4 linked regions of the Alligator mississippiensis genome follow. The protein of the gene in region 1 interacts with the protein of each later gene in a pairwise test. Links are inferred from orthologs where the notes say so. Each region holds a gene or a part of one and is shown on either strand. Other genes may lie near its edges. The genes, in order: GADD45G, LRIF1, EEF1A1 and AFAP1L1.

Region 1 (7,131 bases):
TATGCAGAAATAATGTTATTGATGAGAGTAAGTGCAAAGACATGGCTGCTACAAGATTTTTTTTTCCCCCCCAGTAAGGTGGTTAAATACATGTAGATATTAGACATGCAAAGCTTTTTGTTCAGAGAGCAAGCTGCTTGCAACACCAGGAAGTCTGAAACCAAGTCTTCTTGGACTACTCTACTAAAGAAACCGTCTGTAGAAGCCACCTATGACAAACAAGGTCATTAAGCATGCAGCCCTTCAGTCTTGCAAGCTGTTGCGGTAAGCAGCTGTTGCAAAGGGGTGAAAGGTCAAATTATCAGTTTTGAAGAGCCATGCTTTGAATTAAAATCAGCTACTTTCTCAGAGCTAAGAGTCTTTCCTAGTAAAGGCACATTTCCATGCATTAGCTGCCAGAGAACAGGCATTTGGAAAGGGGGTAGAAAGAGAAAATATACATTATATAAAAGGATGCATGTCATCTCCAAAAGCTTTTCCCTATCCAGGTAAGCAAGACACCAGAAGTTATTTGTCAAAAAACAGTTTATTATAAAAACAAATGCTTCAATAGCAGCATAAGTAGTAATAAAAATGATTATTGCATTAATCAAACCAGTTTTGCAAAGTAGCCAAAAGGCCTGATAAGTCAGTCTGTACAAGACAGTCTGCATAAAAGTCTTTGTATCGTCACAGTAACAAGTCTCTAACTAGGCCATCAAAGTTTTCCTCCTAATATTTCATAGACATTGCCAACAATTCCTAGTTACAATGTTGTTTTGTCCAGTCCTTCCATGTGATTTTTGTCCAATTCCCAACCTTCTGTCCTGCCTTCTGGAACAGTTCCACTCGACCCTGAAACTTGCAGTTTTTTCAGCTCCTGGAAACTTGCAGTACTTCCTTCAGCTCCATAGTATGCCAGCCCCTCCACTAGCCCCACTGCATAGTGGGGCCAACCTGCTGGCACGAGCCATCCTCCTCTTCTCTCCACAAGAGCCTGCTTGGTGCCAGTCCGAGCGACTCAATCCGATCTCTTGACCAAGCTAATCCACAGAATCAGCAACTTGTTGCACACCGGGTGAGCCAACACCATGAGAAGAATGCAACAAAGGTTTCAGCCTTCTTAGTGCACTGGATATTCATCACTCCGGCAGGGTGATTGTGGGCACCCAGTCATTGACCTTCCGGCTTTCCTCACAAAACAAGTTCAGCTTTTCAAGGGCTGGATCCTTCCATGCAACCCCATTGGGGTTCTGCAATAGAAAAAAAAAGGAGAGCTTCCATGAGTAAACACATTCCTGGTCCTCAGAGCAGCACTGAGCTGGGAGAGCATGCTGGCACAAAAGGAGTGGATTTAGCCCTTTAAATTGGCACATCCCCTTCAAGGGGAACAAGCAGGACCTTGCTTTTTGTGGGGCAAGTTGCAGGGAGGTGGGGAAATTCATGCTAAAGTAGCATCAGACAAGTATCCAACACACACACACACACACACACACACACACACACACCTCTCAGACTGGGGAAGGGGTCTCCAGCAGAAGCACTTACTAGTGTCACCCCAAGGGCACCCATGGAGCAGATGCCAAGCTGCTTGCAGAGGGCAGCCATGCCCACAGCACCCACAAACCCAGCCCAGCCACTCACCATGATGAGGATGCAGTGGAGGTCTCTGGGCTCGCCCGCCTCCTCGCCAGGCCCCAGGATCTTGGCCAGCTTGGGGGTGTCATTAAGCCGCACGATGTCAATGTCATTTTCGCAGCAGAAGGCTTGGATGAGAGTGAAGTGGATCTGCAGGGCAATGTCCCCCTCGTCCTCCTCATCCATGGCCAGCACGCAAAACGCCACGTTATCTGGATCCCTGCAGGGGGGGGAAGGGAGAGGCAGACATCCATTAACCCCAGGCTCCACGCACCAGGCAAGGAGGGAGGTGGCTGTACGGACAGATGGGCAGGCTGGGGAATAGGACACTGGCTGCAGACTTACACATTCATCAGCTTAGCAGACTCGTAGACGCCGGCCGTGAGGCAGCTACGCCGCTGCGCCGATACCAGGAGCTCATGGAGGGCTTTGCCAGCACCCTGCATCCTGCAAGAGAGGCACAAGGAGGGGGTCAGCGCCCAGTTGAACCGCACGTCAGCCCCAGCCAGTCAAGTGCAGCCCCAACCACAGGCTCCGCAGTGCCAGCCCCAGCAGACACTCACCTATCAGCCGTCTCCGGCACTGGCTCCTGCCCGTGAACTTCCTCCAGAGTCATGATGCTGCTGCCGACGCAGGCACAGACTGTAGTATCCACACGCGGCACTCGCAGACCGCTACGCTCGCCCCTACCCTGCCCGCGCTCGGCACCCACAAGCACACTGATGCTACCGCAGCGCTGCCGCCTCCTTTTATAGGCCGCCCGGCAGCTGGGGGCGCCTCCGCGGCGCTGATTGGCCCGCAGGCCCGAGTATTCTGATGCAAAGCAGGCGAGGGGCGGGGCCGGCTCGTGCCGCGGGGCCACGTGGGGGGCGCTGACACGGCGGCGGGTCCCGCTGTGGTGCGGGTGTTGCCGGGCAGACTGCGGGGCCGCGCGGGGGGCGCCGCATCTGCACCCGCCCGGCCAGCTGCACCCTGCACGCGGCCCGCCGCGCTGCACGGCCGGGGAGAGGGGCCTGCGCTTCACCACAAACAGAAATCTCTGCTCGGGGGGAGGGGAAGTGTTGCCCCTTTCCTTTGCACGCTGCTTATTTGATTTTTAGTTATTGACATTTTTTTCTTTGTTTTTTTTATTTTGTTTATTTTATCGTCTTATTTTTTTGTGTTTATCTTATTGACCTTTTGATTATTTCATTCTTTTTCTTTCTTATTTCATTTTGATTCTTGCATTGTTATATTTTGTTACTTTTATTTTGATTGTTTCATTTTATTATTGCATTGTTTCATTTTGATTATTTCATTGTTTACTTTATGACTGTTTTTAGTAGTGCTTATTTTAGTTATTTTTAATAGTTTATTTATTTTATTTCTGTGCATCTTGGTTTTTTATCATATTTATAATATTTTATTTTATGTATTTCATTTCATTTTCTTTTGTGTCATTGCATTTTATTTTATTAACATTGACTTTATTTTATTTTGTGGGTTTGGGGGGGGTTAGTTTTCTTCTTTTCTTTTTTAATTACTTTTTTTCCCCCCTTTTCTTTTCCTCACTGCCCCTGTGCCCCACTGCCGAGATGCTCCCCGCAGCCTGGAGCAAGGAGGGCACCGGGCCTGCATGAGTAATGAGCCGCTGCACGGAGCAGATTGTGGATGGCACACGCTGCTGCTTTGCATCTCTATAGCGGGCGCACAATGGCGGAGGTCTGGCGTGTGGCAGTTTGGAGTTCAGACAATGGATTCTTTTTTTTTTTTTTTTCCCCTTCATAGCAACACTGTCCACCTGCCACTGGGGTGGGGATTTGCTGCTGGGCTGCAAGGGGGGGAGCAAGGGGGAAACAATCGCTTTACTCTCTGGTGCTGTCCAAGCTGTTGGTGCAGATGAATGTCTCCACTTGCCCACACTTCCATGGGGCAATTGAAATTGAATGTTGAGGCCTGGGGAGCACGCAATGATCGTCTCCAAGCTAAAGACTTGATCATTTACCCCTTTGTTTTAACCCTTATCTTTCAGGAAACTGCAGGGAAACGGATGAGTCTGAGAGAGTAGGGCAAGAAGGGACCTACAAAGGTCACCTGGTCCAACCTCCTGCCTGAGGCAGGATCATCCCTATCCAACCATCCCATAAATCCAGAATCTAAACTATGTAAGACTTCTGTCAACCCTGACACAACACAGGCCTAGCACCCTAACCTGCTACAGGTAAAGCCAGGGAACCAGGGCACCCAGTGTCCTGCTTCGATTAATATATCAATATATGCCCAAGAGGTCTTGGGTAGGTCACTGTGCCCCACCACTACAGAGCAAGGCAAAAACTCCTACAATCCATACCAGTCTGACCATCTATCCGTTTGCTCTATGCAAATAAATCTCCACCCCACCCAGGTACAACAGTGTGTGATGGTTTTTGTGGACACCAAAAAAGTAGCCATAGTTTGTAGCAGGGTTGGGTTTCTGAGCTCAGGCTGGGCCAAATGTACCTGCTTACCTTGAAAATCTGATTCCTGTTTTATGAGCTCTGCAAGTCATTTACGTTCATGGAGTTTAATTGTTCATTTCCCCTGAAATCCCTGTTGCTACCTTCTACTTTGGCCGCATTGTAATGCTGGCTAGTAGTGCTATCTACTGGACATTTAAACACCAGCTGCTAAATCAGAATCACAGAAAATGAGGGTTGGAAGGGACTTCAGGAGGTCATCTAGTCCAACCCCCTACTCAAAGCAGGACCATCCCCAACTAGATCATCCCAGCCAAGGCTTTGTCTAGCTAGGTCTTAAAAACCTCCAAAGATGGAGATTCCACAATCACCACGCTTTCTGGGGAGCCTATTCCAGTGCTTTACTACCCTGTTAGTGAGAGAGTTTTTCCTAATACCTCACCTAAACTTCCGTTGCTGAGAATTGTATCATCTTGTCCTTGCTGGAAGCACTGGGCAGAAGCAGCAGAAGGATTTACTGGAAAAAGGAATGAGCCACTGTAGGCAAACGCAGTAAGGGACATAAATGATGCTGTAATCTATGAGCAAATTCTCTGAAGGTGATGTCTAATTCACTGTGCTCCTTACAGAATACAGGGACAGCTGTTTTTTCACACCTAAGATTTGCATTTTCTAGGAGAATGGTAATAATCAACATTAAAGTTGAATTGCCACCTTGTGGCTTCAGGATGTAATAGCTACCTAAGCAAAAAAAGGAGACAGTTATTTTCTTCTGGGGAAAAAAGAAAACCACGGGGTTAATTATTAAATGCATGGAAGCCGCTATTTGTAAGTGTATGACACCTGTGCTACCTAGATAAGCGGAATACAACTGATACGATGCTCATATAGATTTTTCAGAACATGCTTTAGTTATTCACCTAAATCATATATTGCAACCCCCTTCCCCCAACACACACATTTCTTTTCATATATTATACTAACTCCAGTATATATACCCTCATTCATTTTGGTTAGTGAAAATCAGTTATGTAACTTTCTATTTAAAGGTTTGGGGCTGTGATATTTAAAGGGAGAGACTAATCAGTTTTAAAAGCTGCTCTTCACAGAATTGGATATGTTCAAATTTCTGATTGGGGTTGGTCCAAGTGACCCTTGAGGTCCTTTCCAGTTCTTGGATCCTATGACTGGGGCATAGATTTGGTAAAATAAATAAATAAATAACTTGCTTTTATATGCATCCAGTTTGAAAAGAGGTCAATTTGAGGTGCTAGAATGTTTCCAAATGAATTTAGGGTGAATAAGACAGGACTGACTTAATTAAATTCTGAAGCTTTGTATTTATCCATACAGAACTGGCAAAGACGTGCAGATTTTACAGACTCCCCATGACATCCCAGGTTTAAAGAATAGAGAATAGTTTGGTCCCTGTGTCTGTTCACTTACTGGCATCTCCTCTGTGTTTGTTACACGGATAGCTGTCTCCTAAAAAGTGGACTGATCCCAGCATCAGTTCACTTTATATAGGCCATGAGAGGGCCATCATCAGTTAATGACTTCTATCCGCTACTAACTTGGACTGGACTTGATCCAGCAGGCAAGAAACAAAAGGCTCTGTATCCCATTACCACAGAGCCTTTCTTTACAAGTCTTAAGGTATGAAGATCCAGACCACAGAAAAGGTCCTTTTCAGTATTTTATTTGGAAATCCTAGATCAAGCATTGTCTTGACTAGACAGTCCTGCTTCTCTTATCACACAAGTGATGTGAGCTAAATCTCACCTGTCCATACAGAAGTTTCAGCTTTTCTACATACCATTGTTGCTGAAGTTTTCCTCAAGCTGAACAGGTTTCGAGTTTGTCACATACCCTCTTACTTTTATTTCTAATTCCTACTATTGTTGCAAACACAACACCATCAGTATGCAAATCTAATGGCCTCAAAATTTCCAGATTTTTTAAGCTATAGGTCGGTTCCTGAACTTCAAGCTCCAGCAATAGTTTCCTATAGAATTGCTGTTTAATTGATATACCAGGTATACACCAGATACAAAATATACTAGATGTATAACAGCATGTACCAGATATACCTGAATCTTTCCTCAGAGCATTTTTCAAGTAATACCAAGAACTCAAAAGTAAATAGGACTGATCTAGAATATTTTAAATTTTTTTTTTCCCCAACAAATAATTTGTTTATATTTGATTTAATACAATGTGCATAGCCTAGAAGCCAGGAACATCTGTGTAATAATCCTGCCCCTACTGTGGACTGTCTCGAACAAATCATAATTTGTTTTTGTTTACTTATCTGGAAAGTGATAATAGGCCAAATTTAGCTCTGGTGTACGCAGACATGCACTCTGCGAATGTAAGCACCATTTACATTTTACAAGAATAACCTCTGGTTTTAGCAGTGGCTGCAAGTTTCATATTCAATTAGTGAGGATGGCTTAAGTAAAAGGTGCTTGTTACTTCTGTATATAGGTAAACTGGGCCTGCTTATAGTGAATTCCAGTCTCCAAGTGTAGTAAAGTAGCAAAAGGCCACATCTACACGAGATGCTGACTGTGCAGTTGTTACTGCGCAGTCATTTAGTACTTGCATACCCAAGTACTGAATGACTATGCAATAACCGGCATTACTGCGCAGTGGTATCCCCACGTGGCTTCCTGATGATACTGACTGCATGGTGGTAGCTTGTTATTAGTGCGCAGTAGCATCATGTCACAGTTCATGCCACGCAACACTACTGCACAGTCATAACTAGCTACTACATAGTAAACGTCTCATGTAAATGGGGCCAGAAAGTTCTAAACTCATGCAGTGCTTTGCAATCTGATGACTGTAATCACAATTTTAATGAACTTTGACTTATCACGAAGCTTGTGTGTGCATGCGTGCATGTGTGCGTGCATGCGTGCGTGCACACGCATGCTGGAGGGAGGGGAAGAAAAGGAATAGACAATAATTTAACACATCTGGATTGGTTAAAGTAATCTAGAACAAAAAAAGTGTATGTATTTGGGTACGCAGTTACTGAAATGGTGTATCTGCACATATTCAATCTTCCAAGTGT
Region 2 (7,791 bases), on another chromosome or scaffold:
GGTCCCTGAGTGAATCATGATTGATTGATTGATTGATTAGTAACTGGGAACACAGCAGCTTAGCAGCCAGGCCTGCAGCAGTGTCTCCCCTCCCCGCCCCAAGACAGACACAGTTCCATAAGCACCCATGGCACCAGTTTTGCTTGTCCGCACGCAGCTTGAGGGGCAGTTCCCCCAAACCTCTGCACCCATCTTCTTGAAATTTGGCAGGCTTTGTGGTCTCAGTAAGTGCTACCAGCCCTGCAGTTTTGACCCCTCTGTGTTGTAACACATAGACATGACAGGAGTTTTGCTTTCAAGAATTTCGGGTACAGTTCCCCCCAAACCCCTGCACCTATCTTCTTGAAACGTGGCAGGCTTCATCCTCTCTGCAGAGCTTTCCACCCCTGAAAATTTTATCCAAATCAGACAAAAAACAACAAAGTTACAGATATTTTATTGTTTCCCCATTATATCCTATAGCTGGATCTCCGAGGGGGCTCCGAACTGCTTCGGGAAGCCAAACAAGGCAGCGCTTCAACCCGGACGCTCTGCTCCGGACCCCAAAGCGTCCGAAGCTTCTCCAGATCCGAAGCTCTGTCCAAAGCCTTGCACAGCTCTAATGAATGGTACCCCAGGTAGCCAGGTCAAGTGCATCTCCACAAACTATAGTCACGGTAGTGACCGGCGTGTAGACATTAAGGAAGTTTGGATTTCACTGACATGATTAAACCCAGATATAATCCAGGCATTATTCTGACTAGTGCCTTTTCTACAGACACAAGATTTCAATATAGAAAGACCCCTGCAAATAAACCATTGCTTTTCTGGATTTTCAGAGGTTGAGAATTAAAAAATAATGTTCTCTTGGAATATTTATAGTTTAAACACTTACCCCAGACTACCGTTTTCTAAACTCATCTGTCCAACAGATTTTTCCCATTGATAAGAGTGCCATGGGAAACTAACTGTCCTGATTTGACATCAGCAAGATCTGAGTCTGAGGAATAACATTCCTCATCATTTTCACTGGAACAGTTGATCAAAGAAGAGGCTCTTGTGTACTAATCTCCTTTGTGTTGATATAATTTTAGATTAGTTGAAGTTTCCTCAATTGCTTCTTGGGGAAAAAAGAAGAAAGATGGTAGAAAATGCCAGAACTTCAACTGAAGGTAAACAAGTAAATCCCACTTGCTGGAGAGGTCAATGTACCCCTGATTTTTCAGTAACCATTATGGCAGGAAATTTATGAATGAGAACTTGCATGTAGCTCATCATAACGTTGTAGAGGTCCTCTTTTAATAAATGTTCTATCCAGGAGACAAGACCAGCTCAGGGTCCCTGGCTCAGTTGTTGACAACAAGGGCCCATGTCAATGACTAAAAGCCTGCATTTCATTGAGTAGATGCAATTTGCACCCGTAAGAGGTTCTGAACCCTTTCTAAGAGAGTGACTGATTAGAAAAAGGCTCAAGTGAGAATGTTGCTGCCCTCTCTCATCAAAAGCAGTGATTTAATCAGACGTCCAGAAAAAGTCTTCTTCCTTCTTATGTTCTGAAAAGAAGTTGCCTTTGACCCACGGAGAAAATGATCCACCCTGTAACACTTGCAGTCCCTTCCTTACTCTGGGCAGAGCGCTGCAGAGGGCCTCCTCTACAGAGGAAGATGCTTCTTGTTGAGAGATACCTATAAAGTATCAGAGCCCTATTGCGTGTGAACCCAAGGGAATAAGAGGCAAAATGAATGCCTCTCCCCCCTCACTAGTAGCCGATCACTTCATCCTTTGGGAACAGCCTTTTTTGTAGGTATAGTATTAGCTGACCTCTAACTCCATCTTTTTGGTACACAGAAGAAACATGGGTCTATTCCCATACAGGAACAGTCATCCATCCCCCTCTGTTGTTACAGAGGCTGACCCACTCTTTTTTTGGAAGATTGTTGCCTATATTTAGCCAGCGACAACTGTCCAATGTGCTCTGCTCAGTGTTTCCCCTTGGTGCAAATTTTTGTGTTTTAAACCTCTGACTTCCACTCCCATCCCCATTCTGTATTTTATTTGCCCCAAGCAATCACTGATGTGCCCGTAGTGCCCCCCTCTTCCTTACTAAGGGGAGTTTTTAGCTGTACTTGGTGGCCACTGGTCCAGCTTCTGGAATGACACATCAAGAGGCCTGAATTTCATCAAGAGGCCAGTATTTAGCTTGCTCTGCCACATCACTTGCTCTCTGGGTGGCCAGCTTAGGTCTAGATCGTAATATAAGAGTTTTCTTTTGAAAAAATGAACTCTGGTGTTTAGTGACCACTAAAGAAAGCTGGTGATTGAAAAAAGAACCAAAAAAATGGCATTTTCACCCGGGGGGGGAGCACACGATTTAGTTTCACATGGAAAAAAGCGTGCACAGCAAGACGCCAGCAGCCCAGCCTTCCCTGGACACACCCTGCTCTCCAGGAGCCAGCGGCATCCAAGCTCCTGGGTCATCGAACCGGCAATGCAAAAAAAAAAAAAAAAGATGCAAAAAAGGCCAAATCGGCCCCCGATGGCGACTCCCCCTGCAGTGGGGCCTATTGGACCCAGGTGGAGGGTGTCAGCCGCCTTCGCTCTTCTCAGCTTGTGCAGAAAAGTGCCCGTGCCACGCCCCCAGCTTCCAACTTTGCAAATGAGCATAGGAACCATGACGTCACGCTGCGAGGAAGCCAGACGTCACAACGGAGCCGCCTTCCCACGTGTCCCGGAGGCGGGGCGAGGTGAGGCCTGCAGTGCGCGCTCCGTCCGCTAGGGGCAGCTGCCCCTTCACTGAGGCGTCGGCCCCGAGGGCAGCCGCCCGGCCCGGCCCGCGGGTACTTACCACTGCGCGGCGCCGCCGGGCGCCTCTTCCGGCCGCTTGGGAGCCTGCAGCGGCGGCCCCGACATAGCGCGGGGCGCGGCGGCGGGCTGCGCCCTCCAGGGCCCCGCGCACAGGCCGCTCCCGCAGCCCCGAGCGCACGGACGAGTGGGTCCGCGCTCCGGCACCGGGCGGGGTCTGCAGCCAGCCCCGCCCACCGCTTCTCGCCCGCTGACGTCACTTCCCCAAACATCTTTGAAAACCAGAAGGCAGCCCCAACGCACTTCCGGCTTCGGGGACCGCCCTCAAATCCTACTGGCTCCCGCGGCATTGTCCTTCTCTCGGAGCCAATGGGATGCGGCTTCCTGCCTATCGGCTTCCGGGTCGCCTTGCGAGTGGAACAGGAAGGGGAGACATTATCCGCTTGGTTTTTTTTCTGCGCAGGCGCCAGGCGAAGTACTTCCGGTCTGTGAAAGTGACTTCCTGTTGCCAAGAGATGAGGGTTCTTAGACATTATTCCCGCGCCCCCGAGGGTGCACGTGGCTCTGGGGATCCCCAGTATCATCCATGGACCATGTCTCTTGGCTCCTGGACACAGAATTTCCTTTGGAGCTAGCTCACAGTTTGCCAGTTCTACAAAGGGTTAGGATGACAGCAGGCACCTCTGCCTTCAGTTCAAAATGAAGAACTACCTTCTTTGACTTAACTGATTCACAACAGAACAGCCTAACAATGAACTAGAAAATTGGGCGAAACAAGTCCTTTCAATGCATTTTAAAAAATTGTTAAGCATGCAGGTGCCCCATTGATGAGTACAGGATATGGCAGACAGATTAAACTAGATCACTAGGTCTCAAAATCAACCTAGTTATTTTTCATACAATGACATCTTGGAACCACTCTAACGTAGGGTGACCACATTTTCAAAATGCAAAAGTAGAACACTGAGCCTCCCTGCTTTGCTCTGCCCTCCTGTGCCGGGTCCCACCCACTGGGCCGCGGAGGCCCTGGGGGACGGGCAGCAGGGCAGGGAGCCCCAAGCCCACAGTGGGCAGGCCACATCCACCCTTGCCCTGCACAGAAATCTGGGGAGGGGCACATGCTCCCCCATGCCCTCTGCACGGGAGTGCATGAAGCACGGGAGGCAGCCCCACCACCAGCCTCTGAACAAGCCACTCATGGCACCGTTCCACTCCCCAGCCAGGCCCCATGGCTGCACATTCCTGCCCTGGCCCCAGGCCCCATGCGGTGCCCCAGCTGGGCAGTGCCTCCAGCCCCAGCTGCCAACTCTATTTCACTTTCTCCCTCACTGGGGGGGCTTCAATCTGCCCCCTGTTGCCCCCTGCATCAACTATGCACCCTCCCCCCGCATAGACTTATCTGTAGACAGCTGGGGAAGCTGCTCTCCACTGTTGCCTGCCTGTATTGCTGGCCACATGCATGTGTGCATGTGCACACATGCATGTGGTGTCCCCTGTGTCCTGTTCCCCTCCACCTCAAGCAGTGAACAGAAAACCCAGATCCCTGCATGTGATACTGGGACAATAGTTGCTATGGTTTGACTGTGTCAAGGGGAAGCTGGGACCAATGCTGTCCCAGAGTCATTCAGCCTGAGGACCAGGATTTGATCTTTACCCTGAGGCCTTTTCCCCACTGCTCTAGCAAGGCCACCCTCCCATTAGCGATATTGGGAGGGTAGGATATACTTAACCTCTGACACCTGTTTGTAGCTCCTGGTTAGAAGACCCACGTCACTGTTCACTGGAGAAACATTTGGAGTGAAGTACTTTATTTTTAAGAGGTTTAACTTCTCAGAGGAGAAGGAAAGAGAATGGTTACTATTTAAGTGTTATAGAAAAATATGTTAGGATGGTCACTGCTAAAATATTATTAAAACATGCTAGGAAGGATATATTTTAAAGGTAATTTAAGGATTTACATGTTTAAGAGATGGGTTAGAGACAAAAATAAAGGCCATATCAAGTAAAAGAGCTCTGCTGATGACATCAGGAGATGTGATTGCAGCACTGGGTAGGATGAAGCTCAGTGCAGCTTTTCTCACCCTAATGTAAAGATAGTCCCTCTAAACTCAAAATGTAGACCTTACCTGCTCAAGTTAATAGCAACATTTGCAGGTCTGCTTCCTTCTACATCCCAAGCAATGTAAGGAAGGGGCACAGTGGAACAAGAAGGATGGGCTTCCCTGCCCCTTTGTGCAAGCTAAATAGAAGAGATTGGAACAAATTTATAACCAAAACTGCTTGAGGTGATTGATACCTAACTGCCTGCCAATAGAGAACAGTTTTGTGAAAAGGTAATTATTTAATTGATCCAAAAGCAGTATTGCCACTCTACTCAGTTAAAAGCTTTTTCTGTATTGAGAGATATCACTGAATGGCATTTGGTCTCCAAATGGGTTGAAAGAACTAGATTAACAGACTTTGGATAAAATGTATGCAATGGTGTCCAGGTATAAGTTCTACCTGACCTCTGTAAATAAGTTTTAATTATGTCACAACAGATTGCTGAAATTTTGGTTAATACTTTGAACCAATATTTCAGAAGCTTGTCTATAATTTGAAGCCTTTTCTATTAAAGGTTAACTATAACTATGTTCTTCCATACAAAGGGTGGGGGGTTCAAGAAATGGTCCATAAAGTATAATATTTTGTTGGCCAAGAGACTGAACAACTTATATTTATTTGTTTTTCAATAAGAAATGTGAAAAATTAAATTGGGAACTGGTCTTGGTCATCACTTTTACTCTGTAGTAAAGTTTTGTGAGCTGTTCTGATCTGCTTTACAGTTTATTTCCATTTCCAAGGAGATTTTATCTATCTTGGTGTGAGAGGTGTAGCCAGTAAGCTTTATGTCATCGTACATGTGCACTCAAACCCTTGAGGTGTCAACTCATTGGACTGGACAGTTTAGCTTTCAGTGTAGTCCACTCATGTGGTTTGACCCTCTCTTTGTCTGCCATGCCTTGCTCTTGAATGTCAATGGGAGGGTTCTTGGTCATTAACAGCAACCTGCACAAGCTGCCCATGAGGAAGACGTATGGGGCTCCACATCCCCTCACACCCCTTCCACATGCCGACCCAGTGTTATCCTTGTGTCTCGTTTCCAATCCATGGGGTACTGTGTTCCCTGAGCCTTACTTTACTGGCCAAGCAACAAAATCAATTAGCCTCTTCAGGTTCAGCAGCTGTTCATTAGATAAATCATTCCATCCAATTAATTCTACCCACAAGTTCTTAGATAAATTAATTAGTCCCCTAGCATCTCAGGTCATTCTCTAAGTAAATCAGTGAGTCTGATCAGTTTCCCCCATGGTTCCCTAATAAATCAATTAGGCCAATTAACTCTTCAGCAGTTAATTCAAAGAATCAGTTAAGCCAATTAATTATTTGGCAATTCAGTAAATAAATCAGTTATGCCAACTAATTATGTGGCAGTTCAGTAAATAAATCAGATTTCATCAGTCACTCATGTTCTCCTAACGTGTTCAAAGTTCAAGTCCATTATCCTACCACGCAGTGCTGTGGCGAGTGGGGTAAACGCCAGATTGTTGCTGGAGTTGGTCTTGCCATTCCCAGAAAGACAGGTTCTCTGAGGACCCTATTTTGCACATGTCAGAAGCTGTTGTTATTATTATAATCATAATCATTATTAATATTCCATTTAAAACAAAAGCATGACATATACATCAGGCAATGGCATACTCTGTGTCCCCTGGACATTTTACAGTTCTGCCATTTCAATAAGGTAGATATTTCCATGCATTAAATAAAAAAAAATCTTATAATTTTGCAGGAACTGTTATGGATGATAATGATGCTGAAGAAATTGTATTACAGCCCTGATTCAGTAAGGTACTCAACCAGTATTAAACCAACGGGACTGTACACATGCTTATATACATGTTTGTTGAATGGAAGACTGTGAACACAAAAGCAGGTTTGGAGCAGAGGAACAGGCACAATTTTAGAAACTTTTTGGAAAGTCTCTTAACCTAATCTGCAAGGCATTTTAAATCAAACCCTTAAAGCTGATGTGTAAACTCTTTAATATTTTAAAATATTTTTAAATATGTCATTGAAAACTGGCAAAGAAAATAACCAATTGTACTGACTATTGTAAAACTATTTATAAAAATGAGTGAACACCAGCAAAAATCAAGCAATACCCTGGGACTGTGTCCAGTAAAAACTAATGTCCAACCAAATATTGAATGCTTGTGACAAATGACTTGAGAGGCATTTACAGACAATACAATTATTCATGGAATGACTAACAAAAACATTTGAGAAAAATGTGTGGTGTGCTGGGGATACTTCATGAACATAAACCACGCACAATTTATAGAATAAAATGTTAAGTAGAAAGAATTTTCCCATTTCAATAAAAAAAAACTATTTACACATGATCTCCCAGACAAGGCCCCAGAGCTCCTGTTTACCATTCTTTGGCTCCAGCTGGGTAATTCCTTGCAGAGATTATGTTAGTTCTCTAGTCTTGGTCAGTTTTCCTTCCTTGGAATTTTCTTCTCTGTGTCCACACTTTAGACTTATTTCTATAGCATCATCTACATTACCTAGTGAGAAAAGAGAGGAAAAAAAGTAAAATTCATAAACTTTTTAGAGCTCTATGAGCTGCAACATTTGGGGATGACCATTTGCAGATGAAATGATAGAACATGTGAACAAAAAATCTTTACATTTATAGGTAAAACATGAATGATATGGACATTAGGAACACCAGAGGTTCAAGGTTGGCTCTGATCTTCAGAAGTCACTTCTCTGTGTGGGATGGGAGCAACAGGTCTATATCACAGGATTTGTGGAGGATTAGTTGGTGAATGTTGCTACACTTCTATCTGTAAAGTGTAAACAGATAATGTACATCCCTACTGGGGCAGTGATGTGGAGGAATGGGGAAAATAATTCTATCTGAACACACAAATTAATATAAAATGCCTAGGACTATCTTGT
Region 3 (7,993 bases), on another chromosome or scaffold:
CGGTTTGTTACAGTCTCTCACTAAAAGGGAAATTACTACCACTTTTTTTTAAACTTATGGAATGGAATGTCACCAACAAATTAGATACAGGAGAAGGTACAACCTATTCCCCTCCCCCACACACAAAAACACCTTACCGCCAATTTTGTACACATCTTGAAGAGGCAGACGCAGGGGCTTGTCAGTTGGACGAGTTGGTGGCAGAATGCAATCCAAAGCTTCAAGCAGGGTAGTGCCACTGGCATTGCCATCCTTACGGGTGACCTTCCATCCCTTAAACCAGGGCATCTGTGGCAAAATAAGATGCAACCATTAAAATTTGTCCCGTTTCCTAAAAAATCCATTTCTAATATCCTAAAACACATCCAAGTAACTTAATTATCAGTTTAAAAACTAAGCCTAATATGACTGAGGTGCATAGATTCATCTAAAGGGTGAAGAATGTATCACAATAGTCCCCTTCAAAGAAAGGAGGGAACACCCCCCCCCCCATAAGCAAACAACTTACATTAGCACTGGGCTCCAACATGTTGTCTCCGTTCCAGCCAGAAATTGGCACAAAAGCCACTGTGTCTGGGTTGTAGCCAATTTTCTTAATGTAAGTACTGACTTCTTTGACAATTTCCTCATATCTCTTTTGGCTGTAAGGTGGCTCAGTGGAATCCATCTTGTTAACACCAACAATGAGCTGTTTGACACCCAGTGTGTATGCCAGAAGCGCATGCTCACGGGTCTGCCCGTTCTTGGAGATACCAGCTTCGAACTCACCAACACCAGCAGCAACAATCAGGACAGCACAATCAGCCTTTGAAAAAGAGAAGTATTAAGTTTCTATTTACATGCATATAAAGAACAAAAAACTAAGTGCACTAGAATTCTCTCATTTTACGTACTTGGGAAGTGCCAGTGATCATGTTCTTGATGAAATCTCTGTGTCCAGGAGCATCTATGATGGTGACATAGTACTTGCTGGTTTCAAATTTCCACAGGGAAATATCAATTGTGATACCACGCTCACGCTCAGCCTTCAGTTTGTCCAAAACCCAGGCATACTTGAAGGAACCTTTGCCCATCTAGGAGATTAAACAAGCAAACAAACAAGAGTCATTGATATACTTGCATTATACTTTGTAAGTGGCAGTTTTAAAAAGGAACCCAATTTGTAGGATAGCCAAGGGACAGGAAAAAAAAAGTCTACAGTGGCAGATGGCTTCTACTGCACTAGGGATTTCTGCTGCCAGCACAGCTTTGGCCTAGACACACTTGGCACAACTAGTGAGAGATTCCATCTGTCTTCTGTTATTTAACCTGATGTCACTTTAGCCCTGGACAACTCATTAACTACAACTAACATCTTTAAAGTTAGCTTGGCTCCACAAGGTCCATCAGATCAAGTGTCCTCTGGAAGCTTGTTTTCATACCGTTGTAATCCTTCCCACAGCTAGCCTGTATGCGTTTATCCTCTGGAATTTACACAGATAGCATAATGCCATCACCTACTGAGTCATTCTTATTGAGGCATAGTCCAAATAGAAAAAAAGAAAAAAGATATTGCATGATAAATTTGGAACAAATGCAATATCCTCCAATATTACTCAGTTTTAAAGACAAAGCCCCATATAAGTCACTTTTAAAAAAGGTAAATTTGGAGTACAGCAGTTACTCATCAACTATTTGATACAGCCTGCCTGAACAATTCCCAGCTACACAAGTTGGGCCAAGTCATGCTCCTCCTGGTTCCCCATTTATAGCAGGGGGAGCACAGGAGGGGAGGCAGGGTGGCTTTCCCAACACTGCCCTGCTGCAACCTTATTGTTTGTATTAGTAGCTTGAAAGCACAAAGCAATGCACTGGACAACCTCTGGGGGTCCCTCCCAGCTCGACTTCTCTAGGAGCCTATGGCTCCAGGAGTAGACACGGCCTTTTTCAACACTGCAGCAAGCAACTGCATTTTGGGGGCAGAGAATATCAAGGTGTTCATCAAGGCTAAAAACAGAGGTTGGAATTCTCCTGGAACAAGATTCCCGGCTCATATAGACAAGCAGTTGCCACCTCACCAGCACTTTTTCTAAGTTGGGCAAGACAATGCTTTCTGCTAAGCACATGAAAGAGACCCCCCAACTCCAGGAAATACCCACTCATACCACCCTTCCCCTCTCCCCCGCAGATGCACCTCGGCAGCCTCCTTCTCAAACTTCTCGATGGTGCGCTTGTCGATGCCGCCACACTTGTAGATGAGGTGCCCGGTGGTGGTAGACTTGCCCGAGTCCACGTGGCCGATGACAACGATGTTGATATGGGTCTTCTCCTTGCCCATGGCGGCGGCTGGCGAGTGAGGCTTTCCCTTCTCCCAGAAAAATCAGCACCTGCGGGCCAGAAGAGGCTGGAGTCACCCCGGAGCCCGGGCGGCGGCGACCACGAGGGCAGCGGCTGACGCAAGGCCGCGGCTCCACCCACCCACCCTTGCGGCGGCGGCCCGGCCAGGCCACAGCGCCCCCACGCCGGCCGGAGGGGGCCGCGGCCCGGCGCCAGGGCGGCGCGGGAAGGCGGGGCCGCCCCGTTCCTTTGTGCGGTTCGTCCCGCCCGGCCGGGCCGCGCGCGCGCCCTCCATTTTGTGGCGCTGCCTGCAGGCAGGAAGAGCCGCCATCTTCCCCGGCCCGCGCCCCCCGCCCCGCTCCCGCTCCGCGAAAAATTGAGACCCCGCTAAGAGGCGGGGGGGAAGGGCGGCGGCCACGTGCTACGCCCCCACCCCGGCACGAGGAACCCGACGCCATTTTGTGGCGCCCCCCGCGCCCCTCCCCGGCACCGCGGCCCCTGGCCCCACCAGAGCCCCCCCCTCGCGGGGCCCCACCCGCCCCTGCCACTGTGCCCGCCCCGGGCCTGGCCCGCGCCACCGCGGCTTACCTACAAGACGGCGGCAAACCCGTGGCGAAAAAGACCGACAGCGTGTGCGCCCGGCCTTATATAGGCTGGCGGGGCGGGGCCCACGGATACGTCACGGCTCCCAGCGTTCCGTTCGCTCCCCCTCCCCACCCCCTCCGGGCCGGCAGGGAGCGCCGCCCAACTGCGATGGGGCGGGGCTGCTTCCCTCAAGTCAGCAGCGGTATATCCCGGAGCCGTACGTCGGCGCTCCCTGCCCGGACTTTGACGACGGCCCCTGCCCGAGCGCCCCTCCCCCAGCCGGGAGAGCACCTGCGCGGGTGGGGCCCCGCCACGCGGCCCATCCCCCATTCCCCCTCCCCTCCGCTGCGTCCCCAAGGGGGCGCCCGGGGCCGCGCTTCGGAGCCCGGGGAGCGGCACTTACTCCGCGCTGAGGCGGCCCGTCTCCTCCCACCTGCCCTCGCCGGTGGCTGGGTCGGAGGTGACTGAGGCACCCTCGTTTCTCCGCCGCCGCCGCCTCGGGAGAGGAAGCGAGATCCCCGTGGGGGCCGACTCCCCGAGCAGACTTCCTCTTTTGGCTCAGACTTGGGTCCCCGCGTGCTTCACTTGCAGCCAAACCGGTTCCTTCGCTCAGAGATACATCAGTTGGTGCCTGCTTTTGGGGGCGGGCAGCAGATAGTAGGAAGGCCGGGCTGGAAGGGGCCTCACGGGACCATTTAGGCCAGAGCAAACCTGGCCTAAATTCCAGGCTGGTGCCTGTCCAGCCGACTGGTGAACATCTCCAGGGACGGAGACATGCTTCATGGCTCTTCTGGGGGGCGGACGGTGCGCACCCGCCCCAGCACGCCAGGCTGCAACCCCTTCTCACCCCAGAAAGTCCTGCGGAGGCTGGAGCTGCACCTTTCCGTGTGCACAGTCGCCACCTGCAGCCTCACCATGTCCCAGGACCTATTGGTCAACCTCCTCCTGGCCCTGGCCAAGACAGCAACATGTCTAACAGCAAAGGAGGCATGAGGCCAGGCTCTGGCCTGGGAAACTCACGTGAGTGTGGGGTGGTCTTCACTCACATCCTGTGGCACGGTTTCACTGGCCCGTGTCCACAGGCACCCCATTTCATGCAGCAGGCACTGGCAAGTCTGCTATGCTTGGTGTTCCCTTCTGATCCCTTGTTTTGAACTTGTGATTTCACATCCTTTTCTGTTTCCTTTTTTTTGTCTTTTCTCCAAACCAGTCGTGTTGAGTTGTCAGTGGCCTTTCTTTTAAAGGGGGGGGCTTATAGTTTTTGGTGGGCCTAGGCTTCTGTTCCCCAAGTGCAACAAACAGGTCTGGGCCACACTGGCAAAGAGCAGGTGCTGACTGAGTGACCGGGGCACAGCCAGCGTTTTCCCCTGTTCCTCTCGTGTGCAGCCTCCTTCGTTTAAGGTCCAGGAAGTTCAAGGAGTAGCATATTTTTGTAGACAATGAGGGCCCTGCCACAGTCAAAGCTGGACAGAAACCAGCTATAGCGTTGTTACGCATTTTCAAGCACTAAGCTTGTAGCTGGCTGCCTCTTCTTTTAGCCAGACAGTCATTTTTAATGGCTTATCTTTACTTTGCATGTGTGGCTGGTCTAGATTTATTGCACAATTAACCAGTTCTGTGATAATCACTTTGTACTTGTGACAGGTTTTACTTTGCACATGTGGCCAATGTAAAATTATTGTGCGATGCACTAGTCAGTTGCTTAATATACGTAACGTGTATCAGGAGCCTAAGAAAGAGAAACAGGAAAGCAGCCCGCTCTAACATGGCTCATGCCTCCTTAGCATTTTCTCGTTTGGCTCTGATTCACTTCTGGCAATGTAGAAATAAACCAAATGTAGACTCCACCCGCAGTAGTACAACAGTCTGAAAATTAACGTCACCTGCTGGAAAATGTGCACTGAAGAACATACCTGTATAACTCCAACCTTGTATAACCACCCATGAAAGGGCATGGACTACGTGGTTACATCAACAGAAACTTTCAGTGCACTTTCTAGATACTAGGCAATATGACTGTACGGTATGGACTTCTAAAAGACTGAGACTGTCTGGTATAGACTTGAATAAAGCCTCAAGTTATGAAAATGTAGGTGTGTGAAACTGGGTAATCTACATTCATGTGTGTTCATCGATAGTTATGTGAACTGATTTTGTGACCAGTGACTTGTACGGCCAGTGCATATAACTCAGTGTGTCAGCATCTAAAATCTCCAAACTTAACTGGTTTGATTTAGCAATCTCCTCCTTCATGCTGTGGTTGCTGTTGCTCATGTACTTTCTATAAAAGAATTGTCTTAACAAACCTATGGGTAGCGGGTGGACCAAGTAGGCCCTGGACACAATCTTTTCTTCCTTTAAAAAGTTTCCCCACAGTTACGACCCAGGTCAGTCCCACTAGTCCTTGAATATAGTACACAGAATCTTTACACACTGTACAGTGATGCTTCGTGACAGAAAGCCTACCAGTAACCTTACAGGGAAGTGTGTCAGGAACTAGTTACAAAATATTAATAAAAACATTGGAAATTACACCCAAAGCATTTGTTTAGTATCTCAGTTTGTAGGTGGCATCTGTTTCTATATAAAAGTTTGTTTGGGAAAGGCACCCACAGCAGAGAATGTATTGGTATTGCTTTAGTATAATTTGGTGTGTAGAATGGGAGAGAGGAGAGATTAAAAGGATCACCTGTTTTTCAAACAAATAAATAGTTCTATAAATGGTATTAAAAGCTCAACTTAAGGTTTTACTTCTAAGGAATCTCTTTCATTCATTCCTTATGTATCATAAAAAACACAAGAGACAGTGTCTCTTGATCACTTGAAGAGGCATATGGGATATCAGCACAAAAGCAAAGGGTGTAACAGGAATACCCTGATCGTCCAGCCTTTCCAGCCTATTTTGATTCCACTTCTCCATTGCAGACTTCTCCCATGTCTCCTATTGCCCTGCCAGTTGCTCTGAGTGGGTTGACCTGCGCTTTTGAAGGGAGGATATCTCCACTCCTCTCTAATCAGAGAACTGTCATTTGGTTTTTGGTTTCTGTGGGAGGGTGGAGAGGTGCATAAAAGCAGGCTTATTCCAACCCCCTCCCCAGGAGCCACTATGGCCACTCTTAGGAGTTACCAAGTTCCTTATCTAAAAGTTATGGAAAGGGGAAAAACCTGATTTCCTGTCCCAAACAAGACTAAGCGGGCCCCTGTTTTGACGGGGAGAAAAAAGGTTGAATTCTTTAAGAGGAGGAGCAAGGAAGAGGCCTTGAGGGACAGAGACAGTTGCACCCATTCAGCTAGACAGATACCAAAATAAGCAGCAACTCTTGTTGACAGGATACTACTACAATTTCCTTGCCATCCACCAAAAGTAGAGGATGGGGCAGTTTTTCTCATCCAATATGGGTTTATTGTGCAGCACCTCCAGATGTACTTACTTGTTTTACTGAGAAGGCAAAACTTGCATAAACTGGGATCCTGCCACATTCTCATCCAACACAGGGAGCTAAGCTAAATAAATCCCTGGTGAATACTCTCAAACCAATCACACCCCTTAATATGGACACAAGGCTCCTCACTTGTTGAAGCCGAAAAAGGGATTCAATCCATGAATTCAATACACCAAGCAGCTTATCTTCAGTTGCAAGACATGCAAGATTTTAAGAAATACATTCATTATTTTAGAAGCCTTTAAAAAAAAAAAAAAAGCAATCTTCTAGAGATGCAGAAAAACTGTCAATTTTAGCATAATGGATTTTTCTTCTAACAATACTAGTAAATCAACTTTCGATTTTTCCCGCATTCTATGCACACACCTTTAAAATCAAGTCAAGACAAGACAGGCAAAGAGTCCAAGGTATTTGTTAAAATGGTCTTCTGTCCCTCCTCCTTTCTATAACTGCCATTTAATCTTTAGCAGTAGAACTGAAAGCTCCAACTTGAATTAAGAGGAGCGTTTAATTAGTTGGAACAGAATACTGAAGTGGAGGAAATCAAACTTACAAGAATTTGGGCTCACCGTATATGCCCCTCAAATGTCAATGTTTACCTTGGACAAGAAAACTATTGAGTATAACTCCACAAAAGGCTGACCCAACTAGATCTAACACCTGAACATGGGTAAAGTAGGGGAACCACAGCAGCCAATGTCCTGCTTCTATAAATATTGTCAATATATGCTCTAGAGATCCATGCCACCTGTTAGAGAGAAAGGCAAACCCCCCACAGTCCATACCAGTTTGACCATGGGAGACAAATTCCTTCCTGACCCCAAGTATGGCAATTGGTCTGACCCTGAGCAAGTAGCAAGACCCTCTAGCATGGGTGACTGGTGCCCCCCCAGCAGCCAATCCCCCCATGGCCAATCTCATCGATTGGGGGGGGGGGGACCCCCGCAGCCAATTGTGTCAACCGGGAAGTGGCTGCGGCACTTCATCAGGCACTCCAACTCCCCAGCCAGTGTTCGCAGGGGGAGCACCAGCGCTTCAGCCTGCCCCCCCGCCTGTTGCGTAAGTGGGGAGCACAGCCTGTCAGGGTGTCCCAGCTGCCTGCAGGGGGTTCGGGATTGAGAGAATGGTCAGGGGAGAAAGGTAAGAAAGTTTTATTGACTTAACAAAAACAACTACGCGTAGTAACAAGGCAAACAATGACAGACAAAAGCAATTTGCATCGGCAACTTATCGGCAGTCCCCTCTGATGCCTGATACACAGCAAGCTTCTCTTTTCACAAAGTTCAGTGAAGTCAGGCGTCCCTGAACGACACTGTCCAAAGGGGTACCAGGAAGGACCATGGAATGCAGTCCTTGGGCTTCTCAAGGTCCACGGGCCCACTGATCCAGGTAACAGTTAACTAATCCTTTTCACAGAGCTGTATCTTCCTTCTGAATGGTTTCCAGATATTCCAGCTAATTTAAAGCTTCTGAATGATACTGATAACGTACAACCACTCAGATTCCTTTTACTTCAACTGTCCTTAGACTGACCAGTTAGCAGTACAAACCTTGCATTTCTTTGATAGGGTAATTTTAACTATGCCACAGGGCCTTACTACTTCAAGGCTAAATTTACTAGGCCTTACTTTATACAAGGCCTCACTACA
Region 4 (7,875 bases), on another chromosome or scaffold:
GGAGGGACAGCAAGACGTTTACATTCGCGTGGAGCAGTCCGGGTGCCAACAGCGATTTATTATAAACATTACAAGCAGAGAGCATGACTGTTGTGTGAGTTACCATAGAAGGCACCTAGGAAAGAGGCAGCAAAGCAGCTCTCAACACAAGCGAGCCCCAGCCCTTATTCGGAGAATGAGGCTATGCAGAATGGGTAGACTGGGGGTAAACAGATCCTGCTATTCTTACACAAGCTACTGCTAAAGTAAGTGTCAATCCCCACTCTGCCCCGCTCTCCAGGAGCTGTCTCTTGCCTGCTGTTTTACACGTGGATATCCCATTTTGCTCTGTTGAGAGCCTGTCCTGGATTTCCAGGGGTGCACCAGCCAAGGGGCTAGCCCAGGCCAGCCTATTCCAGACTGAAAGTGTCTCTGAATGGACACCCAGGAACAGGGGCTACTGTTGACAGCTTTGTACTTCAGCCCTTTAGTTTGATGCTCTGCTGGTCCCAGGAACGTGAGTGTTGATGAGTCCCAGGGTCCCTGCAACATGTCAGGGGAACAGGATTGCACAGGTCTTGCTTGGCAGGGGAGCAGGACTCAGACACTGCTTGTGTGAAGTGCTGGTCCTGTCTTCACAGGACCACTTCAAAGGGCTGCGTGCACAGGGCGACAGGGACAGCCGTTTGTTAACTACGTGTACCTCAAAACCCCTCTTCTCTGCTAGGCTGGTATCACCCCCACATTACAGGTACAACTGAGGCAGAGAAAGGAGACAAAATTAGTGGCAGAGCTGGGAAGAAAGTATCCAAGTCCTGATTTCTAGTTTCCTGCTGAGGTAGACATGCGGTCAGACCGGCCAAAAGATGAACAGTTAGCAACGGGCTCAGCATCATGCAGACCTCACCTGCAAGTCTCTTCAACACCCATGGCAGGCCTGTAAACCAGAGGGCTGGGCAGCAGAGAGATGACTGGGTCAGTTAGCGAGGCAAAGAGCAGCTGCCTTCCCCTCTCAAACACCACCCCCCACTGGAAATGGGCACTCATCTCTAAACACTGAGCAACTCCCAATGAGAAAATATCCCATACACATTTCCACTGAGGAAACACCACCCATCCTTTCACATAGGGGAAGAGGAACTCTTCGCCCTTCAGAGTCTGCCTTGTGCTAACGCAGGGTTAAGACTCGGGCATTGTTTGACTGAACTCCTGGACTTCAGAGTATTCTCACCTTACCAAACAGAAGTCACCCTTTGGGCAGCTCTTCCTCCTATTTATTACTGTTACCATTGTTCCTAGGACCCGCAGCCCTGGGCCAAGACCCCACTGTGCTAGACACTGTTGCACCCACCAGCCCTGGCTACATCAACTGCATTTACATCAAAGTCATCCCTCCCTTCCAGTCCAGAGATGCTCCTCCCAGATCAGAAAGGAGCGATCATCTTCAGCAGTGGGATCAAGTGCACAGCAGGTTTATTTATAACTACAAATCAAAGCCCAGCCACTCTGCAGACGGGCTCCACAAACTACAGCCGTGCTCTTGGAATGTGTGTCCATGGCAGCCCCAGACAGGGTGATCATATCCTCCCAGTACGGCTCTGCTGCCCGCCCCTGCTCGACTGTGGTTTGCAAGATGCCTTTGGCAGAGCAGCTTTCCTGGGGACTGACCCAGCAAAGAGGTGTTGATCGCCTCTTTTAAACGGTACTTTCCTTATTGCGCCTATTCTCTCAGATCCTTAAAATGCATGGGAGTTTTACAAAACAAATCTCAAATCTCTGAACTTGGGCAGCAAAGGAAAGCCCCAAGTCACCCACTTCTGCTTCCAGTCCAGGTTGCTTTCACCTCCTCTGCTGCTCAGACAGTGCCCTGCTGTCCAGTGGCGATGCGTAGGAGGTGCACGGCGGTGAACATGCACCCCCTGAGAGCACTGGTGCACCCTCTGACAGCCAGTGGTCCTGGGTGGGTGGGGGGGGCAGCCGAGAGTGCCGGCGCTCCCCCTGAGAGTGCCAGCCAGGAAGTGGGGGTGCCAGGAGAAGCAATCCAATCATGCTGATCTGGAAGTGTCAGTGGCATGCTGCTGCCACTTGAGGGTCAGAGGGATTGGCCGCAGGGAGACCCCCCCCCCACTTGGTGGGATTGGTTGCAGGGGGACCCCCCCTCAGTTGCTGACTGGCTGCTGGGGGGGCAAGTGCCCCCCACCCCCGACTCAGGAGGCACCAGTCGCCCATGCTGCTGTCCCTCACCTCCTACAGACAGGCCTTGTAATAGACCTGGTAACAGGCGTTCAGTTCCTCCCAGCAGAGTGGTGGCTCTCCCAGGAGAAACCACAACCATCCTCATGGCCGGGCTTTTTCTCCCAGGGTAAGAATGGCTGCTTGAGAGAGAAATAACCAGGGAAGAAGCAGGGCTCGGTTTCCCCTGGAAGAGCGAGTGCCTGCAGCCCCCACCCCGGCGAGCGCCACCGCGCTGTCCTTCACAAAGGCTGTCCCCGTTGCTGATGCTGTTGGGAGCTGGAAACCAGGGTCCTCAGGGATGGCCAGGTTCTCCGAGTCAAGGTGATCTCTTTTATTGGACCAGCCAACTGTGTAATACCAGATACCACATCTGCTCCGCGAGCCCTGCCTGCCTCTGTCCTTAGACCAGCACGGCTGCTCCCGCCCGCGCCACAAAGGGATGGGCGTTCAGATGACAGCAGGCTGCTCGCGATCGGGCCCCTCGGGGATAAGCTGGGGCGGATTGCAGGGGATAAGGGGCCAGGCGGGAGCGGGGCGGCCCCGCAGCCCGGGCTGGGAAGCGCTGTTGTGCGGCCAGGGGCCTCCGCGGACCCCCCGCAGCAAGGCGCGGGCAGAGGCGCGGGGCTCGCCCCGCAGCCGGGTCCCCCCGCGGCACCTGCCGCCGCCCGCGCCCGCGCTCACCGCTCAGCCGCTCCATGCCGCCGCCGCCGCCCTGGGGATGCTCCGCCGGGGCCGTGCAGCGCCGCCCGTGCTGCCGCCGCCGGGACGCGGGGTCTTAGTGCCCTGCTCCCGCCCCTCCCTCGCCGGGATAGGGCGGGCCGCTCCCCGGCCAGGTGCGCCCCGCCCCGTCCTCGGGCCGGCCCTGCCAGCACACGGCCCCGGGGGCGCCCACGCCCCTGCCCCCCTCCGCCGGGGACTTGCACTGGGGCCTGAGGTCCCCTCCGGCCCGGCTGCTCTGCGACCGCATCTGAATCCGACTGAGCCCCCTCTGTGCCCAGGGCTCCCTGGGGGGCAGGAGGCAGAAAGGAGGGGCCCCGAAGGACTGGTGGCTTGAAGAACAAAATGACTTTTCCTCCGGTTCCCCGCTGCCAGGCCCTGGGCTGCGAACAGCACCTGCGCCCGGGTCTCTGAGGGAGACAGACGTGTGCGAGGGGCGCTGAGAAAGGGGCTCTCCCAAGTAACCGCACCCCACAGTTAAGGCCAGCCGTTTCCTCCCAGGGAAACCCGGTTCAGTCTCCTTCCTCCCTGCTGCTGCGCCCCGGTCCATCCAAAGGTCCTTCCCCTGCAAGACTCGGGTCCGTCACCCCCGTTGGGGTCTCGCGTCTCCCCGCGCATTGTGGGGATCTGGCACCTCAAACAGCAGGATCCCCTTTGGGGTCCACGGCACTCATCTGCCTGCATGGGGACAAAGCGCCAGGGATGCATTCTGGCCCCTGTTACTCATTCTTCTCTGCATGGGGGAGCAGAGGAAAAGCTTCAAGGACTCAGCCCTAAGGGTTAGGAATGAACAACTGCTAGGTCTCTGGGCTGAAGCAAGGTCTTTTCTTCCCTTGAAACAAAAGGCCAACCCATCTTCCTCCTCCCAGCTCAAATTGTGGTTAAAGGCGGAGGGACAGACTCACAGGGACAGACTCCAGCGGGAGCCTACAAAGCAACTAAAGGAATCACTAACTAGGCTCCATCTGGCTTGTGGTTGTGCCTGCAAAGCACTAAAATTAGCAGATTAGAATCGGCCAGAACAATGGTCTTCATGCAAAAAGTTTTAGTGCCCCAGGCCCCACCCCTCCTTGATCCTGGGGGAGAAAAGGATGCGAGAGACACTACTTGCTGGCAGGGACCGGCTTTTCCTAAGACTTCAGTGGACTTGCCTAGGGAAAGGAAGGGCTGGTGTGAATGTACCTTCGGGTGCTATAGACCTGGGAACACACAGATATGGATGTTAGCGAGACACAGACAGCCCTATATGATGTCTTCTGTCCCCTTAAAATATTCTAGCATGTACTAGCATATATCATAGTCCTCTCTCCATTTTCTCCAGTCAAAGAACCACCCCCCCAGCTCTTTTGTGTTTTGGGTAAATCACTTGGTTCCTTTAGGGTCACTTGCTTCTGAAAGCATCAGCAGGCATGCCTCGAGAAAGCAGCTTCCTCCACCTACCCTTTGCCTTCTTTTTGTAGTTGGCTGCTGAATCTCTTTTCCTGCCAACCTCCCACGAGCCTGCTCAGTAGGAGTTTTATTGTTGACTTTAACAGGAGCTGGTTGACACACCTCTTGCTGTAGGGTGCATCTGGGTAGATGAGGTTAGAAAAGTGAAGGAAATGCACTTTTCCCATCTTTAGGCTCATGGCATTCTGTCTCACATAACCCCCCCCACCCCCATCCCCAATACCTCCCTTCCCAAATCACACTTAAGCTGGGTGTTTCGACCTGAGAAGAGAGCCCTTTGTCTCTCTTGCTGTGGGCTATGGAGTAGAAATCCCAGATTCACAAGCTTGTATCATACTTACTGTTATGACAATGCATTAGGACTTTAAGCTTGAAGGGTAAGGTGGCAAGATGTTGGGCCCTAGGACCTCAGAGCATTTGCTCTACCCATCCTTCTGGAAGATCATCCTGGAGACTCTAGATGCCCCAGGATAAAGCACCAGGGAACAACGCGAACAAATAAAGGACCTCGAGCACATCTTCCTCAGTCAGAGCCTTCACAGGTGGTAGCCCAAAAGCTTCCCTTTCTTTTCCCTACAAGCCCCCTCCACCCTGCTCTTCAAATTTGTCCAAAAATAAAATGAAAAATCATAGCTGCAAGCCTCTCCCAGTTAAAAATGTTCCTAGTGAGGCTGGATCCTGCCAGGATCTTTCTGGAAGGCCATATACATTGCTGTATCCCCCGCCCCAAAATAGGAAAACGCCTGCTAGGGATGAGGATTAGCAACTGTGTTATCTTCTGACAAGTCAGACTACCGCAATGATCTCATGTAATGTTACTTAGCAACTCTGTGCCTCAGTTTCCCCATCTTTACAATGCAAATAAAAATGCCTCTTCTACCAGTGATTTGTGAAGAATATTTAGATAATATTTGTATAGTGCTTTGGAAATGAAAAGCTCTCTGTAAGTGTTAAGTGCTGCTGTTATTGTTAGTGTTATTATTATTAACATATTGGGAGTCGTGAATCCCCTGGGGGTTATCGTTGACACTGCTGTTTAAGACTGAGGTTCCTTATAGCTCCAAACAGCTGAGTTTGATTTAGGGAGCTGCAGTTTTATATTATGAGGTGAAATCATTATAAATACAATTGGCTGCATTTACTGCTGCACTAAAGTAGACAGAAGCAATTACCAGCACAATATTACAATCTCCACTTCATCCCACAGCTGATTCCACGCTGGCATAAAAGTGTAAAGAGCCACTGCTGCTTGCTAAAGAGTGATTTTCTTCCCGCTGTTCCATCATCATGGTGCCAACTGGGTGGATCTGCAATGGTGCCCTCTGCCAGCAAAGCAAGGCTACGGACTAGGGTGATTCCATAGCTCCTGACTGCAGTTCTTTGTGCAATGAGTTTGGCATCTTCATCTTAGAACATCCCAAAAGGCACATCCTGCAGCCTCTCCCTGGGGACCCTTCACCATGCACCTGAAGCTGGCCTCTGTGGTGGTGCTAACTTGATGAAAGGGACAGAACCCAGCTGATGAAAAAAACCAAAGTAGAAAATATCCCTTGCAGATTTTTAAGCTGACCATTGCAGACAAAAATTGAAAAGATCCATTAGATCATTAATTCCATACCCTTTGTGAAAGCAGAACATTACTCCACTCCCATAAGAAAGAACATATTGACTGATTCAATACTGGGTACTGACCCTGCTTCACTAGCCATAGACTGGAGTGCCCAGTTCTGAGACTTTCCAAAAAAATCATGCCAAAGAAAACACACAGAAAATCAGAGAAACATACAAGGCAGCAGGCAAATGCATTTGTGTTGAAATAGCATATTAGTAAAAAAACCAAACAACCAACAAAAAACCCACAGTTTACCCCAGAGTTAGATGAGAGTCCTTATAAAATTCTTTATTAGCCCCTGCAGAAGACTGCAATACTGATTTGATCTGGAACAGGATACTGCTGGTCACTAAGCAACTCTGAAAAAATCTGAAAAAATCCAGCAAAAGAAATAAAAAAGGGAGATGCAGCTCCCATAACCAGCTATTTGGACAAACAAAGAGGATGCTGTACTGACTGTTGCTGTTCAAGACAATGTCTAAATGGAGAATCTAAAATGCGGCCCACAACATTAAAGCACCCTTCTGACTTCTCCAAGGCTCAGGTCTAGATCGATATGGAGTTTGGGTTCAAGGCCACTTACAACCCTTACAGCAGCAACAGCCCTCTGCAGACCTGATGATTGGGCAAGAGCCAAGTGCAAGGCCTGTGTAAAGGGCCTGGGAAGGCTGGGGACTGAAGGTGACAGACAAACTACTGTTTTGGCACTATGGGAGGTGAAGCTGGCGTTGGTATGGACAAGGGGAGCAGGGTGGAGCCATACTGGTGGAGCCCTGTGGTCTGGAAACATCAGAGTTGGGGAAGCATGTGGCATAACTAGAGAGAGCGTGGCCTTGGATCATGAGTCTAATCTCTCTGCGTCCACGTGTTGTTAAAGACCTGCCAGAGTGCTTTCTGGGAAAGTGCAGAACAAAACTCAGCCCAGAGAGAGCTCTACTGCTAGCTCTTGTACTGTCTTTCCCCCATGTTTTAGTGTCTGGAGGTTGTTTTCCTAATGCGGGGAATGGAGAGACCCAGTCCATCCTTTATCTTTCACCCATTTGTTCGTTACATTACTAGGCACAACTGCAGTGTTTGCATTGCAGGGGGTGAGCACTTTCATCACCAGGAGCTCTACAGTCAGAACTGGAGCATGTTCCATGCTCCCAACCCTGGGAAATGCGTGAGGCTGAGAGCCAGGTGGAAGAGGTACAACTGTCCTAGACTCAGTGGAGCATCCTGTAACAACCTTCATAGCCTTCCAACACAATGCCCTCTTCAGCTCTGCAGTCCCTGAGCTGCACACAAATATATTCATTGCTGGCAGCTGGGGAAAGGAAAGCAGAACAAAACTGTATCACTGCTAAATGGCTGTCATGTGCCATGCCATTTCCATCAGATACCAACACAGTCCAGGGCTGTAGGGAGGGCACAGGCAGCCCGTGTCACAGGGGAAGAGGTAGTCTAGGCCTGCTCTATTCACTTCCCTGTGCAGTGTAACCTCAGCTCCTGGGACTGCTGAAAGAGGAAGAAGACAACCCCTCCCACACCAGTAGGTGCCTGGAGAATACCAAGAATCCTGCTGCTAACAGGGATTGAAACAGGTGCTGAGGGCCAGCCTCAAGGGAGTTGGGAGAACCATGGGCAGGAAGGGGAGAGTTCCACCCCTTCCCTAAGATCCTGCCACAAAGCAGCAGCCAAGCCTGACGTGAAAGGGCTGGGGAGGCAGGAGGAAGGAGAGTACCTAAAATCTGTCACTGCATGTGTAGCAGATACCCATTCTCCCTGCCACCACAAAGGTAGAGCTGGTATATACAGACACGAGCGCTTCTGAGAAAGTGAGGCTCTGAGGGAGGCCAGGCACTCAGAAAGGCCAGAGAGTTTACTACAAACCAGGCTTCCAC

The links.
Region 2: the proteins of GADD45G (region 1) and LRIF1 interact in binary tests that used the Homo sapiens proteins (3 or more experiments, as listed by UniProt). The link is inferred for Alligator mississippiensis from reciprocal best matches to the Homo sapiens genes GADD45G and LRIF1.
Region 3: the proteins of GADD45G (region 1) and EEF1A1 interact in a two-hybrid assay, tested with the Homo sapiens proteins (2 studies listed by BioGRID and IntAct). The link is inferred for Alligator mississippiensis from reciprocal best matches to the Homo sapiens genes GADD45G and EEF1A1.
Region 4: the proteins of GADD45G (region 1) and AFAP1L1 interact in binary tests that used the Homo sapiens proteins (3 or more experiments, as listed by UniProt). The two-hybrid records come from large-scale screens. The link is inferred for Alligator mississippiensis from reciprocal best matches to the Homo sapiens genes GADD45G and AFAP1L1.

What each region holds. Positions count from the first base shown.
Region 1 is NC_081826.1:211,290,138-211,297,268, reverse strand, and holds GADD45G (growth arrest and DNA damage-inducible protein GADD45 gamma), read right to left. Parts: upstream 2,352-7,131; 5' UTR 2,234-2,351; coding exon 2,181-2,233; intron 2,065-2,180; coding exon 1,963-2,064; intron 1,838-1,962; coding exon 1,624-1,837; intron 1,233-1,623; coding exon 1,122-1,232; 3' UTR 508-1,121; downstream 1-507. UniProt on the Homo sapiens protein: Involved in the regulation of growth and apoptosis. Mediates activation of stress-responsive MTK1/MEKK4 MAPKKK.
Region 2 is NC_081837.1:31,558,589-31,566,379, reverse strand, and holds the start of LRIF1 (ligand-dependent nuclear receptor-interacting factor 1), read right to left. Parts: upstream 3,006-7,791; 5' UTR 2,890-3,005; coding exon 2,825-2,889; intron 1-2,824. UniProt on the Homo sapiens protein: Together with SMCHD1, involved in chromosome X inactivation in females by promoting the compaction of heterochromatin.
Region 3 is NC_081824.1:63,916,796-63,924,788, forward strand, and holds the start of EEF1A1 (elongation factor 1-alpha 1), read right to left. Parts: upstream 3,006-7,993; 5' UTR 2,905-3,005; intron 2,367-2,904; 5' UTR 2,318-2,366; coding exon 2,174-2,317; intron 1,074-2,173; coding exon 894-1,073; intron 806-893; coding exon 509-805; intron 289-508; coding exon 138-288; intron 1-137. UniProt on the Homo sapiens protein: Translation elongation factor that catalyzes the GTP-dependent binding of aminoacyl-tRNA (aa-tRNA) to the A-site of ribosomes during the elongation phase of protein synthesis.
Region 4 is NC_081832.1:60,634,719-60,642,593, forward strand, and holds the start of AFAP1L1 (actin filament-associated protein 1-like 1), read right to left. Parts: upstream 3,005-7,875; 5' UTR 2,912-3,004; coding exon 2,896-2,911; intron 1-2,895. UniProt on the Homo sapiens protein: May be involved in podosome and invadosome formation.